Macaca fascicularis: one gene and its partner. The protein of the gene in region 1 purifies or fractionates together with the protein of each later gene. This does not show direct contact. Links are inferred from orthologs where the notes say so. Each region holds a gene or a part of one and is shown in the gene's direction. Other genes may lie near its edges. The genes, in order: RANBP6 and ARMCX3.

Region 1 (3,917 bases):
ACTTGTCCTAGGATACAAAATTAATTTAGCAACAAGGTCAGGATGCAAGTCTGTCTTCTGATTATTAGTTCAGATCACTTTCTACCATACCATTTACTCAGTTGTCTTTCCCATTCTTTATTATAACCTGCAGGTCAGGTGATTCTGACACACACCAGATTTTGAGCTACCACTCTACTGCATTAGATGTGGTAGTGGGGAAGTAATTTTTTTTATTATCACACTTATTATTTTATAAACAGCTTTATTGTAGTATTACATGCCATACAATTCACCAATTTAAATTGTACAACTCAATGGTTTTTAGTATAATCACAGAATTGTGCAACCATCACAATTAATTTTAGAACATTTCTTCACTCAGAAACAGCCTATTTGATAGTAGTCATTCTCCATCCTCCTCCCCGCAGCCTCTGGCAACCACTAATTTCTGTTATACAGATTTGCCTGTTTGGTACCTTTCATATGAATAGAATCATAAAATATGTGGTCATGACTGGCTTCTTTTACTTGGCATGTTTTCAAGATAGATTTATTGTTTTAAAATTATCAAAGTAACAATAAGTTTAGAAATAAAAAAGAAAAAAATCACTCATAATCTGACCGGAAGCAGTGGCTCACACCTGTGTTCCCAGTACTTTAGGAGGCCGAGGCGGGCGAATCACCTGAGCCCAGAAGTTCGAGACCAGCCTGGGCAACATGGCAAAACCCTGTCTCTGTAAAAAACACAACAATTAGCCGGGCGTGGTGGCTCGCGTCTGTGGTCCCAGCTACTGGGGGAACTGAAGCGGGGAGGATCCCTTGAGCCCAGGAGGTTGAGGCTATAGTGAGCAGGGATCGCGCCGCTGCACTCCAGCCTAGGTGACAGAGCGAGACCTTGTATCAAAAAAAAAAAAAAAAAATCAGTCATAATCCCATTCTAATCAATGCTTTTCTTCTCTCCTCTGCAAGTGCACGTTTATCTTATTGAAAAACAAATGGAGGATGCCATTGGCCTCCACACAGCTCTCACCTCTCTCCAAAACCTAGCTCGCCGCCTGCCAGAGCGCAGCGAAAGCTTCTGGGCAGAGGAGGGAGAAGCACCCCGCCCATCCCCGCCGGCGCCTCGCCTACGTCACTGCTTCGAGCCGCAGACCCCCTCCCTCCTTCCCGGTCGCGGTAGCTTTGACAGAGCGCAATGGCGGCGACCGCGTCTGCAGGGGTGCCGGCGACTGTGTCAGAAAAGCAAGAGTTTTACCAGCTTCTGAAGAACCTGATCAATCCAAGCTGTATGGTGCGGAGGCAAGCAGAGGAAATCTATGAAAATATCCCAGGTCTGTGTAAGACTACCTTCCTCTTAGATGCCGTCAGAAATAGAAGAGCAGGTTATGAGGTGAGACAAATGGCTGCCGCACTGCTACGACGGCTTTTGTCCTCTGGGTTTGAGGAGGTTTATCCAAATCTGCCTGCTGATGTTCAGAGGGATGTCAAGATTGAACTGATTCTTGCTGTTAAGTTAGAAACACATGCTAGCATGAGGAAAAAACTTTGTGATATTTTTGCAGTGCTGGCCAGGAATTTGATAGATGAGGATGGTACTAACCACTGGCCGGAAGGTCTGAAGTTTCTTATTGATTCAATCTACTCTAAAAATGTGGTTCTCTGGGAAGTTGCACTTCACGTTTTCTGGCACTTTCCTGGGATTTTTGGGACCCAAGAGCGGCATGATTTGGATATCATCAAACGGTTGTTGGACCAATGTATTCAAGATCAAGAACATCCAGCAATCAGGACATTATCCGCTAGAGCTGCAGCTGCATTTGTACTTGCTAATGAGAATAATATTGCTCTTTTCAAAGACTTTGCAGACTTGCTTCCTGGAATCTTACAGGCTGTGAATGACTCATGCTACCAGGATGATGATTCAGTGCTAGAATCCCTTGTCGAGATTGCAGATACCGTACCTAAGTACTTGGGTCCTTATTTAGAAGATACTCTACAGTTGAGTTTGAAGTTATGTGGAGACTCTAGGCTTAGTAATCTGCAGCGCCAGCTGGCCCTCGAAGTTATAGTGACCTTGTCTGAAACTGCCACTCCGATGTTGAAAAAACATACAAATATTATTGCACAGGCAGTTCCTCATATATTAGCAATGATGGTTGATCTACAAGATGATGAGGACTGGGTAAATGCTGATGAAATGGAAGAAGATGATTTTGACAGCAATGCAGTTGCTGCGGAGAGTGCACTAGACAGACTGGCTTGTGGGCTTGGTGGAAAAGTTGTTTTACCAATGACCAAGGAGCATATCATGCAGATGCTTCAGAGCCCTGACTGGAAGTATCGACATGCTGGATTAATGGCCTTATCTGCCATTGGAGAAGGATGCCATCAACAAATGGAATCAATTCTAGATGAAACAGTTAACTCCGTTTTGCTTTTTCTTCAGGATCCTCATCCAAGGGTGAGGGCTGCAGCCTGTACTACACTTGGACAGATGGCTACAGATTTTGCACCTAATTTCCAAAAGAAATTTCATGAAACAGTGATTGCAGCTCTGTTACGTACCATGGAAAATCAAGGTAATCAGCGTGTGCAATCACATGCAGCTTCTGCTCTTATTATTTTTATTGAAGACTGCCCCAAATCATTGCTAGTTCTATATTTGGATAGTATGGTGAAAAATCTACATTCCATCTTGGTGATTAAACTTCAAGAGTTGATTCGGAATGGAACTAAATTGGCTTTGGAACAACTTGTGACAACCATTGCATCAGTTGCAGATACAATAGAAGAAATATTTGTCCCATATTATGATATATTCATGCCCTCACTAAAGCACATCGTTGAGCTTGCTGTTCAGAAGGAACTTAAGCTTCTGAGAGGAAAAACTATTGAGTGCATTAGCCATATTGGTCTTGCCGTTGGGAAGGAAAAATTTATGCAAGATGCATCAAATGTGATGCAGCTGTTGTTGAAGACACAATCAGACTTAAATAATATGGAAGATGATGACCCTCAGACCTCTTACATGGTTTCAGCATGGGCTAGAATGTGTAAAATTCTTGGAAAAGATTTTCAACAGTACCTTCCACTAGTTATCGAGCCTCTTATTAAGACTGCTTCAGCTAAACCTGATGTTGCTCTCTTAGACACACAGGATGTGGAGAATATGAGTGATGATGATGGCTGGCAATTTGTAAATCTTGGAGACCAGCAGAGTTTTGGAATTAAAACTTCAGGACTTGAAGCAAAAGCAACTGCTTGCCAAATGTTGGTTTACTATGCTAAGGAGTTAAGGGAAGGGTTTGTGGAATATACAGAACAAGTTGTGAAGCTGATGGTTCCTTTACTGAAATTTTATTTCCATGACAATGTTCGAGTGGCAGCAGCGGAGTCCATGCCTTTTCTCCTGGAATGTGCAAGAATTCGTGGCCCAGAGTATCTTGCACAGATGTGGCAATTCATATGTGACCCCTTAATCAAGGCTATTGGTACTGAACCGGATACAGATGTGCTCTCGGAAATAATGAATTCTTTTGCAAAGTCCATTGAAGTTATGGGAGATGGTTGCCTTAATGATGAACACTTGGAAGAACTGGGAGGAATACTGAAAGCAAAACTTGAAGGGCACTTTAAAAACCAAGAATTGAGACAGGTTAAAAGACAGGAAGAAAACTATGATCAACAGGTTGAGATGTCTCTGCAAGATGAGGATGAATGTGATGTTTATATTCTGACAAAAGTATCAGATATTTTGCACTCATTATTTAGTACTTATAAGGAAAAGATTTTACCATGGTTTGAACAACTACTTCCATTAATTGTAAATCTAATTTGTTCAAGTAGGCCATGGCCAGACAGACAGTGGGGATTGTGCATATTTGATGACATCATAGAGCACTGCAGTCCAACTTCATTTAAATATGTAGAATATT
Region 2 (3,837 bases), on another chromosome or scaffold:
TAGTTTCATACTAATTGCTAGTTTCCGGTTTCAGCCAATTTTGTCTTGGTCTGTGTTCCTCTAATACTTATTTCGTTTATAGATGATACTATCTATTTTGACCAAGTATATTTTGTAATGTTCTTTTTATGCACACTCATTTTTTCAGTGTGCATGCTTTATCTCACAGATACCTACTGTGCACTTACGTTTTCTCCTCAGGTTTTTTTTTTTTTTTTTTTTTTTTTCCTGCGTTCTGGCTTTTGTGGCTTCAATGCCTCCACCTTGCTAATGGGTGCAGGTGAAAGTCTGTAGCTCTCCTATTTAGAAGACTGGTCTAGTCAGAGGATTTACATATTGCCAGACACACTGATTAGCTCATTCAGGGCTGTGCTGTGTGCTAGGCCCCAGAAGACATTAAGATTGCTTTGAGTGAAGTGTGTAACACTCTCCACCAAGTGAGAAAATGTGGGACTTTTGGAGGCCATCACCCAACATCATTCTCCAGCTTCCACTCATTTTTTTCTAAAATGGAAATAGCTTTATAGTATTTTTTTTTTCTCGTAAAAAGAATGCAGGCTGGGGGCGGGGGAGGACGGAACAAAAATAACAAAGTATTAAGAAAGTAAAAGCCACACTCTCATTCCAGATTTTCTTTTCCGATCGCTTGTTCCTTTCAGATCTGGGACTAGATTTCAGAGGAAATGGTAGACTTTAATAGCTCGGGGGAGGGAAGGTGGAGGGAGAGGCTGCTGTCCCAGGAGCCTAGGGAAGGAAGAGGCAATTTTTCATAAAAAGTACAAGTGGCCCGTAGCCCCAGGGGAAGATGTCGTCCCTTTCTGGTAATCGGTGGAAGGGAAACACAACTACAAGGTGATGAGATTATCGAAGAAGAAAGAGTAACAAGGCCTGGTGTGGGGGAGGGAAAGGAGGGGGGCGGGCCCTCTTCTGCCGCACTGCTGGTGGGAGGGGAAATTGGGGACCCGAGTTGGTGGATGACGTAGCTCTCACGTGACCAAGAGCTGACGTGTGCAGAAGTCCTTCTTGTCCTGGTCGTTGTTCCCGTCTGAGTACCAGCTCCCCATTGCCCTGAGGGCGGGCGGGCCTGCGGCGGAGGGAAAAAGGAAGAGGAGAAGAAAATTGTCCCGGATCCCTGCAGGTCAGTGCCTGGGAGATTCCATAAAGTCAGGGTGCTAGAGGGTGTAGGGCCGAGACCGTCGCGGGTACTGAGGCGCCTCCGTCGTCTCTCCCACTCGCCGCCCGCTTTCCAAGACATATGTCCCGCCTGCACCCCATTTCGATGCTGCGAAACGGTGAGCTGGGGAGTGTTTGGGGAAAAGCTCAGAGATCGGGAGATGGGAATCTGCTGGGAGCCTAGGCCCGCAATCCGGAAAGGGAGCTGTGGCCTGGGTGTTGGCCCCTAGTCCACCAGGACAGTGCCGGAGGGGAATGGCTGGATATGGGGGCGGGGGTGGTGAGATGCAACGTGATATGTCAGCAGAACCCCAAGAGAGGTAATAAGGGTGGGAAACCTCTGACAACCAGGCCTCCGAATTAGAAAAGAGTTTTGTGTTCTGGGGACTAGTCCGTCCACCAAGCACGCAGTGGCGGCAGTTTCCCGTCTTTCTGCCTGTGGCTGTGTCTTCCTGACCATGGCTCTGTGTCTAGTGGGTCCAAGCCTCTCCCGGGTGGCCAGTCTTTCTGTAGGTTGCGGCACAACGCCAGGCAAAAGAAGAGGAAGGAAATTAATCCTAATCGGTGAAGGTCGATTTGAGGGTAAGACCATCTGGGGACTCTAGGAGGGACGGGGTTGGCCGCGGGGGTGGGGAGAAGGCAGAGAAGGTAATAATCTAGGTACAGGTTTGAGTCCGAATGTGTTTGTTGCACTCCCCGGACTGTGGCGAAATGGCGTGCTTTGTGTGTGTGTGGTGGGGGGGAAGTGGGGGAAATGACAGCAGGGAAACCTATCGGATAGTTTGTTCATAATCCTCCTCTCTCAACAGCACTTACTCCCCATGTTTTCGATCTGTCATCCTGCAGGTCTGCTATAGCAGGTGGCTCCGCTTGAAGCGAGGGAGGAAGTTTCCTCCGATCAGTAGAGGTCGGTGTGGGCGTGGGGGCTGCCTGGAATGGGGGAGGGGTTAGAAATCGCTCGCACTTTGGACAGGCTCTTCCAATCCTGCTTTATTTTCCTTACCTCCCTCCCATTTCAGGCTAGGGAGGGGGCAGACCTGTGCATGTTTGGGATGGCATAAAGAGGTTAAAAACAAACCTGATAGCCGGAATGGTGAATCAGGAAAGCAACAAATCAACAGTCAATCCATCAAGTGCTCCGTTCTCACTGGCTCTGGTCTCTCTGCAGATTGGAAAGGTTGTTGGGCGTGGCACACCACCAGGAAACAGAAGGGGCGAACTGCTTGTCTTGAGGAGGTTAGTGCAAGGGTTCTAGTCAGGTCCCTGGGGACATCTGAGGTTGTGGTGACTGAGACCCCAGCAGAATCTGTGGATTCCACTGGCATTATCTAGGCTTTGGGCGGGGTGACCTGGGGTGGGGAGGGAAAGGCTGAAATGAGAGGCATAGAGATTTTGTCAACAATCTACATTTCCTACCTAGCATTCAATTATTATTATCTTGTCCCTCTGCACAACTCCCTGCATGGGACAACACAAGCAGAAGAGAAACTCAAACCCGATTTTATTCTTCCACTCCTAGGTCAACCTCCGGAATCAGCTATTGTGGCCTTGAAGTGGCTGAAGACGATCACCCTCCACAGGCTTGAGCCCAGTCCCACAGCCTTCCTCCCCCAGCCTGAGTGACTACTCTATTCCTTGGTCCCTGCTATTGTCAGGGACGATTGCATGGGCTACGCCAGGAAAGTAGGCTGGGTGACTGCAGGCCTGGTGATTGGGGCTGGCGCCTGCTATTGCATTTATAAACTGACTAGGGGAAGAAAACAGAACAAGGAAAAAATGGCTGAGGGTGGATCTGGGGATGTGGATGATGCTGGGGACTGTTCTGGGGCCAGGTATAATGACTGGTCTGATGATGATGATGACAGCAATGAGAGCAAGAGTATAGTATGGTACCCACCTTGGGCCCGGATTGGGACTGAAGCTGGAACCAGAGCCAGGGCCAGGGCAAGGGCCAGGGCTACCCGGGCACGTCGGGCTGTCCAGAAACGGGCTTCCCCCAATTCAGATGATACCATTTTGTCCCCTCAAGAGCTGCAAAAGGTTCTTTGCTTGGTTGAGATGTCTGAAAAGCCTTATATTCTTGAAGCAGCTTTAATTGCTCTGGGTAACAATGCTGCTTATGCATTTAACAGAGATATTATTCGTGATCTCGGTGGTCTCCCAATTGTCGCAAAGATTCTCAATACGCGGGATCCCATAGTTAAGGAAAAGGCTTTAATTGTCCTGAATAACTTGAGTGTGAATGCTGAAAATCAGCGCAGGCTTAAGGTATACATGAATCAAGTGTGTGATGACACAATCACTTCTCGATTGAACTCATCTGTGCAGCTTGCTGGACTGAGATTGCTTACAAATATGACTGTTACTAATGAGTATCAGCACATGCTTGCTAATTCCATTTCTGACTTTTTTCGTTTATTTTCAGCGGGAAATGAAGAAACCAAACTTCAGGTTCTGAAACTCCTTTTGAATTTGGCTGAAAATCCAGCCATGACTAGGGAACTGCTCAGGGCCCAAGTACCATCTTCACTGGGCTCCCTCTTTAATAAGAAGGAGAACAAAGAAGTTATTCTTAAACTTCTGGTCATATTTGAGAATATAAATGATAATTTCAAATGGGAAGAAAATGAACCTACTCAGAATCAATTCGGTGAAGGTTCACTT

The links.
Region 2: the proteins of RANBP6 (region 1) and ARMCX3 purify together in Homo sapiens (co-immunoprecipitation; 3 studies listed by BioGRID and IntAct, counting the BioPlex papers as one, with this or other methods). This does not show direct contact. The link is inferred for Macaca fascicularis from reciprocal best matches to the Homo sapiens genes RANBP6 and ARMCX3.

Annotation. Positions count from the first base shown.
Region 1 is NC_088389.1:93,024,912-93,028,828, forward strand, and holds the start of RANBP6 (ran-binding protein 6), read left to right. Parts: upstream 1-1,169; 5' UTR 1,170-1,177; coding exon 1,178-3,917. UniProt on the Homo sapiens protein: May function in nuclear protein import as nuclear transport receptor.
Region 2 is NC_088395.1:108,279,267-108,283,103, forward strand, and holds the start of ARMCX3 (armadillo repeat-containing X-linked protein 3), read left to right. Parts: upstream 1-1,010; 5' UTR 1,011-1,292; intron 1,293-1,564; 5' UTR 1,565-1,755; intron 1,756-2,019; 5' UTR 2,020-2,080; intron 2,081-2,341; 5' UTR 2,342-2,409; intron 2,410-2,692; 5' UTR 2,693-2,838; coding exon 2,839-3,837. UniProt on the Homo sapiens protein: Regulates mitochondrial aggregation and transport in axons in living neurons. May link mitochondria to the TRAK2-kinesin motor complex via its interaction with Miro and TRAK2.